Linked DNA regions of Oryzias latipes. The protein of the gene in region 1 purifies or fractionates together with the protein of each later gene. This does not show direct contact. Links are inferred from orthologs where the notes say so. Each region holds a gene or a part of one and is shown on either strand. Other genes may lie near its edges. The genes, in order: ptpn14, stxbp4 and pdlim7.

Region 1 (4,354 bases):
ACAACCCCGCCAGCTCAGACAAGGAAAACAAAGACTCGTCTATAAGTGGATGCATCACAATAAAACGGAGCAGGAAGCTTCTACCAACAGAGATGTTTCCATGTGTTGAGTGTGTGGATGTGTGCTTGGGAACAAAAATAAGCCTTTAGAATCTAATGATAAACCTTACCGTGCCTTTTTTTCTTCTTATCCTTCAATTCCCACGATTCCTTTCTTTGTCTTTTTAAGCATCCTCCCCAAAAATCCCATTTACTTTCCTCTCTTTCATCTGGTCCAGAAATTTAAAGGACTTTGCAAAACAATCCCATCTAATCTTATCTAAAATATCCTCCTGTAACCCTGTTGGAACAATAAAATTGGGCTCATGCAAGAAGTTCTCGGTTTCTGCGGAAAAAGACGAGCTAAAGGGATTTAAAAAAAATAGTCCCAAATTACTAATTCTACAGGTTTACAAACTTTTAATGAAGGTTTAAGTTTGGATCATCACTGAAAAGTACCAAATATGTTTTTGACTTATTTTTTAAGGAGTCAACTTGATCCGCTCTGGAATTTCACTTGACCAGGCTGCAATTATGCAAAATCCCCAAATCTAAGTTTGTCCTGTGGCTAAATTGTTATTTTTTTATTGTCAGTGGCATTAAAATAAAATTACTAGAACATAATCAAGTTAGGTCTAAAGTGTTCAGCCTTCTTCCAGTCTGTATTGTGGTTGTTTCCAAGATGGGAATAGCTCGGAGGAGCAGATGAAAGGCAGCTATTGAAGTCTGTTTGTGCTTTAAGCTCTTAGAGCTCCTGGAATTCCCGAATAATTTTGTCCAAACTCCAAGCCTCCTAAGCAACCCCAGTTCCTCAAGTTCTGTGTGTGCCGTGCTGAAAATGGTGTGTGAACTGCTTATGTGTGTGTGTGTGTGTGAGCTATTAGTCCCTATAAAGGCTGTAATAAAGTTATGCATGAATGTTAGACTATGATAAAGTGGTTGCTTTCATTTTTGTAACTCTAATGTTCCTTTTTCTAATTTTTGGACCAAGACAAAAGACTTTCTATCTCAATGTGTTCTTATTCTGCCAAAAGGTTTCGATCACAAGACAAAAGAAAAACAAACAAAAAAAAACATTTGAGGTCTGGACTGTTCAAATTTTATTAGAAAAAAACCACACACAAATGCATAAAATAAAAGAATGGTAAAAGGGAAATATTGTAGGTCAAAATCTGTGCCTGTTACACTGCCCTCTAGTGGTTTCATGAAGAATCAGTCATTGGTCAGTCTTTAAGTTTACCTCAAAATGTAAATGTTGTTGTTTTTAAATATAAATGTAGTTATTGATTGACTGACCTATTTACAGATGTCTGAACACTTTTTTTTTCCTAGGTCATGATCAGGGGTGAGGAGTGGCACTACATAGCAACCCAAGGCCCTCTAGCCAACACTTGTGGAGACTTCTGGCAGATGGTGTGGGAGCAGGGGGTCAGTGTCATCGCCATGGTTACTGCAGAAGAGGTACCCACACAGATTTCAATCACTTTTAGCATGGATCTGGTTAATTCTCAAAATTAGGATTACACATAAAAAGGTCAACCTGTTAAAAAAAAAAAAAAAAACTGTACAAATCTCTTTAATTTAGCAAAAAAAATTGTACCATCCTGATTACTTTTTTTTTTACTTGGAAAACATTCTAGTCACTTGCACCCATTTAGATCTTAAAACCAGAAAGGCTCAAGTTTCAGTGAGAGCTTTAGGTCTATAACAAACTTTAACACAATTAAAACTTGGAAAATGAAGGAAAAAATAAGCGATGGAAAGTGTGTGGAAAAAACTTTCAATAAGGGAAATCTCTATGCTCAAGAAAAATTCTTTTTTTAATAATATATATATATATGTTTTTTGCAGAGTTTGTTTAAAGAGTGCAGAGTTTATGAATCTTAAACATACAGCCTTCTTTATTTCCCCATCAAGGAGGGTGGAAGATCTAAGAGTCATCGTTATTGGCCCAAACTGGGCTCCAAACACAATTCAGCCACTCACGGAAAATACAAGGTGACCACCAAATTCCGCACGGACTCGGGATGCTACGCCACCACAGGGTTAAAGGTCAAACACCTCCTCTCTGGTCAGGAGAGGACGGTGTGGCACCTGCAGTACACCGACTGGCCCGAGCAGGGGTGTCCTGAGTATGTCACTGGATTTCTCTGTGAGTATCCATCCTGCTGCGTTTGTTTGTGACCATCACATACATCTAAGTCAAGTCTCTCTTTTTTTCTCTGAAGCTTATTTAGAGGAAATCCAATCTGTTAGGAGGCACACTAATTCTATGTTGGACACCTCAAAGAGCCTGAACCCCCCGGTGGTGGTGCACTGCAGTGCTGGGGTGGGCCGCACCGGAGTGGTCATCCTGACTGAGCTCATGATCAGCTGTCTGGAACACAACGAGGTGTGAGATACAGAAACCCCAAAGTTTCTCTTTAAATTGTATTGAAATAGGAAATAAATTCCCATTTCCCCTGCAGCCGGTGGAAGTTCCAACCATGCTATCGGAGCTTAGGCAGCAGAGGATGCTGATGGTTCAGACCATCTCCCAGTACAAGTTTGTCTACCAGGTTCTCATTCAGTTCCTCAAGAACTCCCGCCTCATTTGACATCACAGGATGTGGTACTTCAAATCATCAAGACGACACTCAAAAGTATTACTGATAGACTCTTTAACTCATGTAAAATGCTTCTCCAGCTGTGTTATTTTTATTCTCATAACATCCAGGTGAGTAAACAGATGCTTGTTACTTAAGAAGCATAAAAAGAAATCACAGTTTCAGTTGAACATTTATCAAATGGTGTTATACGGCATGAACAGCAGGGGGCAGCAGTGTTGCAATTTACACAGACAAGTGTTGTTATTGCTCAGACAGATTTTCATATTTTAAACAAAATATTTACTACAGACACACTGTGTTAAAAGTTTTGTTTTTAAAAAGACTGAACTGATTTATTCTCTTTTGTCCTTCTTAAACATGCCTAAACCTTTTCGTATATTTGATATTTTCCTTAAAGAAACGCACCCAAAATTTACAAAATGTATTTTCTATTCGTTTGAAAAAGAATTGCTGTTTTTTTTTTAAATACTAAAAATAAGTTATAAAAGCGATACATAGAAAACTGCCTTCGTTCTAATGGTGCCTCACTAAAATATTATAGAAGAAACCCCGTTTCCCTTTAATGTCTAAATTAAGATTTTACAGACAAATTAATAATTTTAAAGCATAAAAATTAAAGATTAGACACTGAAAAGAATATAAAAAGTGATCAAATCCAGAAGCTAACTCCACTTTCCTTTATCCTTTATGTAAAATACCACTCTAAAAATGACTTTTATGACTTTAAATGTATTTTTTCTACATCTTTAAGAATAATCTGTACATAATGGCATGTGACACTGTTTTATATATGTCTTTTCTTGACTTGGTACTCTTTAACTACCGCAAAATGTTAAACTATGCATGCTTTTTTTATTTTTAAATATTCCCATGTATATATTTCAGTATGTTTGCTGATACTTAGACTGTGCTTTTTTTGGACATACAAGTGTTTTGTTGCACTTCTCTGTTTGACAGTATTTTCCTCACAAGGCATTCCTCTTGCTTTTTTTATATTTATTTAGCTCTTCAGTTTTTCTTTGTTTCTGGCCAAACTCCTAAACACATTTCACAGATTCTGTACATATGTTTTGTATATGCATTTCCAGTGCATTCAGACCCCCCCCCCCCCCCCCCCCCCCAGACATGTATGAAGCTGTTATACCTGCTTATCATGCAGTAAAAGCCTTATTTTCTTTAGATCTGTGGCCTCATTGCCATTTATTCCCTTTGTGCTTAAATAACAAAACAAAAAAACCCCCACTGATGATAAAAAGCTTACCCGTGTTGACCGTTTCACAAATTTTCAACTCTCCAATCAAATCCTCCTCATTTTTGTGATAATTCTTTGCGTATGTCTTTAAGATACTGGTGATCCTTCCCATGAGCCACTTCCATTATAGCCATTGCCTGCACACACAAGAAAATATAAATATTTTATTGCCTTTTATTGTTTTAAGCATAAATATTTTAACCTGCATTTTTGTAAAGATTAAAGCTACTGTGCATTATTTTGTTTAATACAAAACAACAAAAGGAACACATTTATATTATATACATTTCTTTGATCAGTTTGTTACCTTTGTGAGAGCGTTGATTCCTGCCGAGTGCCTCCCCAGTGCCATGTAGATCCTGCCCAGCTTCAGGTAAAGGGACGACACATTTAAGGAGTATGGATGGTAACGTTTGCTGTGTTGAAATGAGACAGAGTTTTAAATATTTCACTTA
Region 2 (3,651 bases), on another chromosome or scaffold:
TCAATTAATCAATCAAAGAATTTTATTAGGACAGGTTCATCTGTGTCTCATTCTGCGGATCCATTCTTTTTTTCAGTTGCTATGTCTTCTTCTTGCACGGCTTCCCATTTGTTTCTCACAGACCCAGAGTCAAATCAATGCTGAGAGGCTTTTCTAAAGAAGTGCTTTTTTTAAAGCAGCCAAACACGCCTGAGGGAGGATTCAAACATGAGTTTTGTTTTAACTGTCTCACTTCTCCTGTATCTCTGCTGATGCCAAGGAAACAAGGTCTTCTCTTCACCCCGATTTGTTTCCTTTTAAAATCCATTGATTGCTGTTTTAAAAATCAAACACTACCTTCCTTTCCCAAATTGGTCAAAATGACCAAATGTTAGTTTCTCAAAAGAGCACTAGAGGGAGATTTCACAGCAGTTCGCTGGTCACTTTTCCCACAACCTAAATATACCTAAAAGAATTCTCATTTTTGAGTGTTTGTTGCTTCGTTTATTGTTCGTAACAATCTCAGGGGATTGATTTGTTTGATTTGAATTTTATCAGAGCTCAAACTGGAACAAAGGACATTTTTTTATATTCCTCTTACTTCTTACTGCCATTTACGCCTTGAGGCGCAGCACATCTTTAATATGGCAGGAGAGTAAACCCAACAGAGCCTGAAACTTTACCCTGCACTCAAACGGCTGCACGGTTTCCTTTATTTGGTTCAGATTCTCATTGCACTTTTTGCAAATGGATGGAAATTCGGAACATGTGTGTAGTGATTGCGGCAATTGTTGGACAAAAGTTACTAAGGAAAACACAAAATGGAGGTTTTGCAACTGCAGCAATAAATTAACAACAGTGACGTGTGGTTAGGTTCACAGCTGGTGAGGCACTGACGTCATCAGTCAGATTCACAAACATATGAACCCTACAGAGCAGCAAGTCGCCCCCTTTTACTGGCAACAGTTAGTGTGTTGTTTAAAATTTCATTTCAACATTTAAAACTGTAGCTTAGATAAAAAAACAACCAAATAGTTGTTATTGTTTCAAAGCTACAGGTCTGGAGTAGATGTGGCGTTCAGGTCAGGGTTCAGCTGCTCATCGGTGTGTTTCTTCACAGGAACAGCTCCTGCAGTCCCAGAGAACGCAGGAGGACCTGGAGGAGGATCTCAAGAAAGCTAAGCAGGTGAGTCTCGTCTGCAGGTCTTTGGTGAAAGCTCTAGTTGTCTCTTTTCATCAGTTCCAGCATAGTTTTAGAACAAAGATGCAGCTCCGCATAAATGTTAAAGGTTAAATTTACAGATAGGTTGATAATCAGTTTCTGTTTTCTCTTTTTGCTTTTTAGATTTCTCTTTAAATAAATTGTGACGCTGGTATTTGTTGTGTCCATGACTGTCAGTGAGGATTGTGTGCTTCTGTCTTTTCTGCAGGATGTTAAAGTGGGAGCAGAGGAGAGTAGAGCTCTCAGGACTCGCATCCAGCAAGCCGAGGAAGCCCAGAAGCAGGCAAGGGGGATGGAGATGGACTATGAAGAGGTGATCCACCTCCTGGAAGCTGAGATTGCAGAACTAAAGACCCAGAGGATGGAACACCCAGCATCAACCAAAAAGGAGGAATGTGGGACTTCTAAGGTGCATTTTCACTTGTTTTGTTTGGTTTGATTAAAAAGAAAGATGTCCAGGAGTAATTAGGTCATACAGTTCAATAGGTAATGGCTAAACAGAACTAACTGCCCTTAGACCCCCCTTCACGGTAAGGAAAAACTCCTAAAGAAAACGGGAAAAAACGAAAAAACCTCAGGGGTGTCCACATGAAGGAGGGATCCTCCCCCAGGACAGACAGGCCATGTACCAGAACTCATAGAGAGAATTAACTTATCTAACACTACAACTACGTGTTTAAATAGTCCAGCAGATGAGCGGATCCACAGCCAGGGGTAGGAGCACCGACGAGTCAGCTGGAATCTGGACCAGATTCTGTTCACCACATCAGTCTGTCTTGATGGGTCATGTGACTTAAAACAGCTTCTCTGACCACTAAGTTAGTAACCCAAAGTTAAAAAGCTCATAAAAACTTTACTGAGAAGGAGGGTCTAAGGCAGGGACGCCCAGTTTAGTTTAGTCTGTTTAGTTAGTCAGAACTTCATGATCCTTATGATTTCATGTTTACTTTACAATTAGCGGTACCAAGCCCATTGAGACGACTATATTAGTCGTCTGTATTAGTCGTCTCAATGGACTTCTGGTTTCACGGCTGGAAAACGTTTGGTCATCAGCTCTACACGTTTCCTGTGTTAAGCTGCAAAATAGCAAGCAGCACACGTGAAACAGACTTCAAAACAGCTGGTGGGGAAATTCAAAAAGGTTTTCAGAAAAGTGTAACTGTATCCCAACAACAGCTGTGGCTCTCAGGACCCCTGTGATGGGTTTTCCACAGCTGTGCTGCCAAACCCTGGTGATTTCTGGCCGGTTGGAGCAGGAATTGTCACCCAAATGATTCTATGGACGTGCTATAGTTCTACCCAAATTGCAATAAGAAAATGAACCAAACCACTCAGTCTGCACTCAATTTGTCCAAAGGAATTCACCTCTAAGGAGTTTTTGAACAGAATAATCATAAGGCTTGGCCACAACTGCCCTTAAGGGTGGAAACAGCTGTCTGCGGGCAATAAATAGGCTTATCTGGACACACAGGTGGTTCACACGAAACATCAAGGTTGTAGACCTCTCTGTGAGGCCGTAGAGCAAAGATGTTCCTGAACATTTTTCTACAGGCTTGCAGCGGGTGACAGGTTTGAGTGAACACGTAAACAACACGTACGGGAAAGTAAGGATGAAGTAGCTGAGACACTGGCATGTTATACAGATTACAGCCCCCCTCCCCAGGTTCTGCACAGGGACCTGTTGGTGCGTTCGCCCCTTTGCTGCATCTTTGTTTGCAGGCTGACTGTTGGAATTGAGGAAATTAAACACAGAAGTTTGTGATGTCATTCCTCAGGGAGTCTACGGGCGCTTGCTCATCACGTGCCCGCCCCGTGCACGCAGCATTTGCACGTCATCAGTAAGGAACCAGTACTTGCACCTAACGACAAGAGTGTGGTGCATGGACACCGTACGAAAGCAGCAGCTGGACTTCATAAGTGCGTTCAACTTACATTAACCTCATAAATATTTCAGAAAAGACAATGGTACGTTCCATTTTCATGACGACCTGTGAGGTCACCACACAAGCCTCAAGACACCAGCGGCCCCCCTAAGATTTGGCTGCTCCTCTCTTTGGGCCCAGAGCGGCGTGACTAAGGCTTTAGAAATGGGTTCCTAAGAAGAGTTCAGAGAAGAAAGGTTTGAGCACATTTTTCAAAATCAGAAGATTCATGAGCTCAGGGCTTCTGAGCGGAGTGTTGCCATCACAGCGTTTCATGAGGAGAAGGTTTTTAGACGAGATGCTCATGAGCAGAAAGGTATCAAAGCCGATGTTCAAGAGAAGTGAGTCCCTGAGCCCCTCGTGACCGCAGGGTTCCTGTGAGATTACTGGCCAAAGTTTTCTGGGTCAGGATGTCAAAACGGATGATGGTTGTTGCCTCACTGCTAGCTGGGATTGGAGTCAGTGAAAGACGATTTCTTTCCTCCACATAGACAGACAGGATGATCACTATCATCATGGTGTGTTGGT
Region 3 (3,651 bases), on another chromosome or scaffold:
TCTGCGCGGTGCAGCAGAGCATACATCAAGGCGGTGCTGTATGTGCACGTGTGCAGAACCATCACTGAATGTTGGGTTGAAGTGATGTCAGGCCCTCCTGTCGCGACAGGACTCCAGCTCTGACTCGCACGCCTGCAAGCCTCCCTGTCGGCGTGAGGGGATGATGTCATCCTTTTGTCAGCCTGTCATGAGTGAGAATGCATTTGATTCCAGTAAAGCCTCTGACTAACGATAACATGTGGACCTTTTCTTCAGCTATCAAGCGCGTCTTTCATAGTCTTAAGTCACATCTGGTCTCGATCGTTTGCCGTTGATGGATGACATCAGGATGACCTTATAATGTCTGTTTTGCGGAAAGGCTGAGTGAAACAGACGGGTACGCTCCTCCTGTTAATTATTGGGTGCTAACAGATGTTACAGACAGCCAGCTGAACATGACTTAGTGTGTTTCTGTATATGTGAGGTACTGTGAGGTAACGTTGTAAAAACAGGAGACTTATTACTACACTCTGTAGGAATCTCTGTCGATAAGATAAGCAAACAAAATAAATCAAATAAAAAAGAAAAACACATTTCTTTTGACACTTTCTAAAATCAAATTGCACCTAAAAAGGATTGGGAAAATAAAGCTTTTACAATTTATTACAGATCAATTGAAACCCTTAAAACTCAGTTTCACTTAAGTTAAGTTAAAAATAAACAGAAATATACCCAAAAATGACTCCTTACGAGGCCTGCACAATAAATCGCATCATGAGTTCAGCCTTTGTGATAAATGGTTACCTCAAATTATAACATACATGCTAAATTGATCTCATGGGATCTTAAAGTATTTAACAAATCAAATAAAAACCCTTTCTTGATTTGACCATTCGGACTGACCCGTTCACGTCGCTGACCAATCAGATGTTATGTGGGTCATTTGGAGTATAATTTAAGTTAAGTTGACTTCTATTTAAATAAAACAGTTGAAAGGAAACGGAAATTATGTAATAATATTGACTACTAAGATCACACATTGCAAGTTTTTCTGCTATCCTGCAGCCCTAGTCCTAGTCCTCCTTTTTTCTTTTTAGAAAGATGTTTTAATTCTGTAAAACACATTGCATTACTCTATAACATAAAATGCTTTATAAATAAAGATTGATTTGATGTATGACTTTTATTAAAACATGGATTTTTCACATGGATGCATTACCTTTAAAAAACATGCAAAGATGCACAATTAGTTTTTTTTTACTTGATTTTTTTTTCTTTAACTTGTTTTGTCCAACAGCTGAGCAAACAGATTAGAGCTGAAGGCTTTTTGTGTTGGACAGGTTTTACTATCACAAAAAGAGGTTATATAGCTTCGAGAAACCAGGGTGTAGATTTGTATAAACCCCTTTTTGTTGTATTATTTTTTATTTATTTGTTAAATTCAGTGTGTGTGGGGAGGGAGAGGGGAAGAATGTGAGGGGGGGGGGGGGGGGGGGAGAGTAAAAGGAAGAGAGGTGAGAAAGTGGGGGATACAAGTACTGATTTGAATAAGTTATTATTTTAAGCTGTAACAATCACACCAGATCTGCTGGAAAGACAAAGTTTTTTTTACTTGGTAATAAATAGATTTTATCTACGTGTTTTAAAAAAATGTATTCTTGTTTATTCATTTTTTGCGTTATCGGCTACCTATATGTTTTTTCTGACCTGCTGAAGTTGCTTCTCCGTCATATGGGTTTCATTTCATAACTCTGTTAATAATCTTCTCCCACTAAATCACTTCTGCATCTTTGTCCTCCACAGCTGACTCCAGGTGGAAAGGCGGCTCAGGCTGGAGTCGGGGTGGGAGACTGGGTGGTTTCGATCTGTGATGCCAATGCTGAAGACATGACTCATGTGGAGGCACAGAACAAGATTAGAGCAGCAACAGACTCCCTCACCCTCACCCTCAGCAGGTAAGCCGGAACAGGATTTCTCATTCCTCCCATGGACTCACAACAATCTAAATATTCAAAAAACACTCACTGGCACTTTTTATGAGACTGAGGGAACTTTCAAGTTTGCTTTACGTTGACAGATTATTGCAAAAATTAGGGCTGCACGATATGAAGAAAACTCGCAATATGCGATATTGGTGATCAATACTGCAGAGACGATATAACTTGCGTTTAACGAACAAATGGCAAAAACAACAAAAACATTTCCATTTCACTGCAAAAGTTTAATTTAAATAGGAGTCAAAATACCTTAGATTATTCTCCAAATGACCTTTGTTTAATTAGCAGGGGAAAATCTAACATAAAAGCTCCACCTGATTGGTCAACAACGTGAAGGGCTCCATCTGATTGGTTAAATGCATACAGGGATTTATTATATTCATTGAAGAGTTCAAGTTGCCATAAGATTGTTTTAGCACATTTAAGGTTTACCATTTATCGTGATTTTTGCTGACTTTTGCCATATGGATATTGCACAGCCTGAAATCGCGATAATGATAAATTTGTGAATAATTGTACAAGCCTAGCAAAAATACAAAAAAAATATTATTTTAACCTTTTTTTTCTTCTTTCAAACGGGCACAGCATTTGTTTTCATAAGTGCTGATTTGTTTAAGATTGCCTTCTGTTTTATTTTGTATTATTTTAGTGATTTAATTTTTGTTTAATTTGATTATTTCCCTCTGTTGATTCTAAAGGTGCAGGAACATTTACATTAGCAGGTTAAGCTTACACTTTAGTCATCTTTAATATATTTTTTATGGCAAATGTAAAACAAACTTGCATCCAATTAAATCAGCTTTGAAATGGCTGGTTTTCATTTTAAATATGAAAAATTATTTGAGGTGTTAAGGACTAAAAGATGGTTTGAATTATAGCATTTGACCTTTGCAGGTTTATAAAAAAAAACCTACATTTTACCAGAGGAACAAACTCTGACAACTCATCACTCTGGTTTAATATGCAACAAAAAGTTCAAATATAGCTGGAATCTGTGTTTAAAACACAGTTTAATAATTGTCTGAGGTGTAAGTCAAGCACAACTAGTGATTTATTAAAAGCTATTAACTGAGGCATGCACACAATTTCATCTCTACATCCAGCTCTAGTATTTGTCTTCTTTTCCACAGCAGCTCCTGGTGGCTCTGTGTGCTGACCTTCTGTTCTTTTAATCTAAACTATTCCAAAAGAAAACCTCACATCCTGAAAAAGCACCAGAAACACACAAAAAGGACACGCAATTTCTCATAAAAGCACTTTTTTTTAAATTCAGTAAGAAAATAATTTGCAGCAGACTGCATGCCCGTCGGCAGAATTTGCACACATTAGTCTGCAAATACTTTTTATAAAGTCTCTCTGAAGACTAGAGGAAATGTTTCATCTGCAGTGTGGACATAAAAAAAGATTTTAGGCCCAAAGAGAGATAAAAATGTAATCATTCAAGGGCCTAAAACCTTCAGAAAATGAGAAGGTATCGACTTGTTAGAGCAATAAAGATGAGCTTGCTGCTTTTATGGGACTCATTTTGATTTTTTTGATCCTCGTAAGTAATAAGAGAAAAGCTGTGTTATCTTGTTCACCTTACTACTGCCTGCCAAGAGTCTCTTCTTTTACATTTCAACACCTTTTCTTTTTTGAACTTATTTTGAGAGAACGACCGCAGGTTTTTCAAGTT

The links.
Region 2: the proteins of ptpn14 (region 1) and stxbp4 purify together in Homo sapiens (affinity purification with mass spectrometry; 3 studies listed by BioGRID and IntAct, counting the BioPlex papers as one, with this or other methods). This does not show direct contact. The link is inferred for Oryzias latipes from reciprocal best matches to the Homo sapiens genes PTPN14 and STXBP4.
Region 3: the proteins of ptpn14 (region 1) and pdlim7 purify together in Homo sapiens (affinity purification with mass spectrometry; 3 studies listed by BioGRID and IntAct, counting the BioPlex papers as one, with this or other methods). This does not show direct contact. The link is inferred for Oryzias latipes from reciprocal best matches to the Homo sapiens genes PTPN14 and PDLIM7.

What each region holds. Positions count from the first base shown.
Region 1 is NC_019882.2:9,205,370-9,209,723, forward strand, and holds the end of ptpn14 (tyrosine-protein phosphatase non-receptor type 14), read left to right. Parts: intron 1-1,016; exon of another isoform or gene 1,017-1,370; coding exon 1,371-1,499; intron 1,500-1,955; coding exon 1,956-2,190; intron 2,191-2,266; coding exon 2,267-2,430; intron 2,431-2,506; coding exon 2,507-2,635; 3' UTR 2,636-3,826; downstream 3,827-4,354. Other genes in the region: N-lysine methyltransferase SMYD2, read right to left, coding at 3,956-4,036, 4,207-4,315. UniProt on the Homo sapiens protein: Protein tyrosine phosphatase which may play a role in the regulation of lymphangiogenesis, cell-cell adhesion, cell-matrix adhesion, cell migration, cell growth and also regulates TGF-beta gene expression, thereby modulating epithelial-mesenchymal transition.
Region 2 is NC_019877.2:24,516,282-24,519,932, forward strand, and holds part of stxbp4 (syntaxin-binding protein 4), read left to right. Parts: intron 1-1,099; coding exon 1,100-1,165; intron 1,166-1,409; coding exon 1,410-1,610; intron 1,611-3,651. UniProt on the Homo sapiens protein: Plays a role in the translocation of transport vesicles from the cytoplasm to the plasma membrane. Inhibits the translocation of SLC2A4 from intracellular vesicles to the plasma membrane by STX4A binding and preventing the interaction between STX4A and VAMP2.
Region 3 is NC_019868.2:19,535,348-19,538,998, reverse strand, and holds part of pdlim7 (PDZ and LIM domain protein 7), read left to right. Parts: intron 1-1,782; coding exon 1,783-1,934; intron 1,935-3,651. UniProt on the Homo sapiens protein: May function as a scaffold on which the coordinated assembly of proteins can occur. May play a role as an adapter that, via its PDZ domain, localizes LIM-binding proteins to actin filaments of both skeletal muscle and nonmuscle tissues.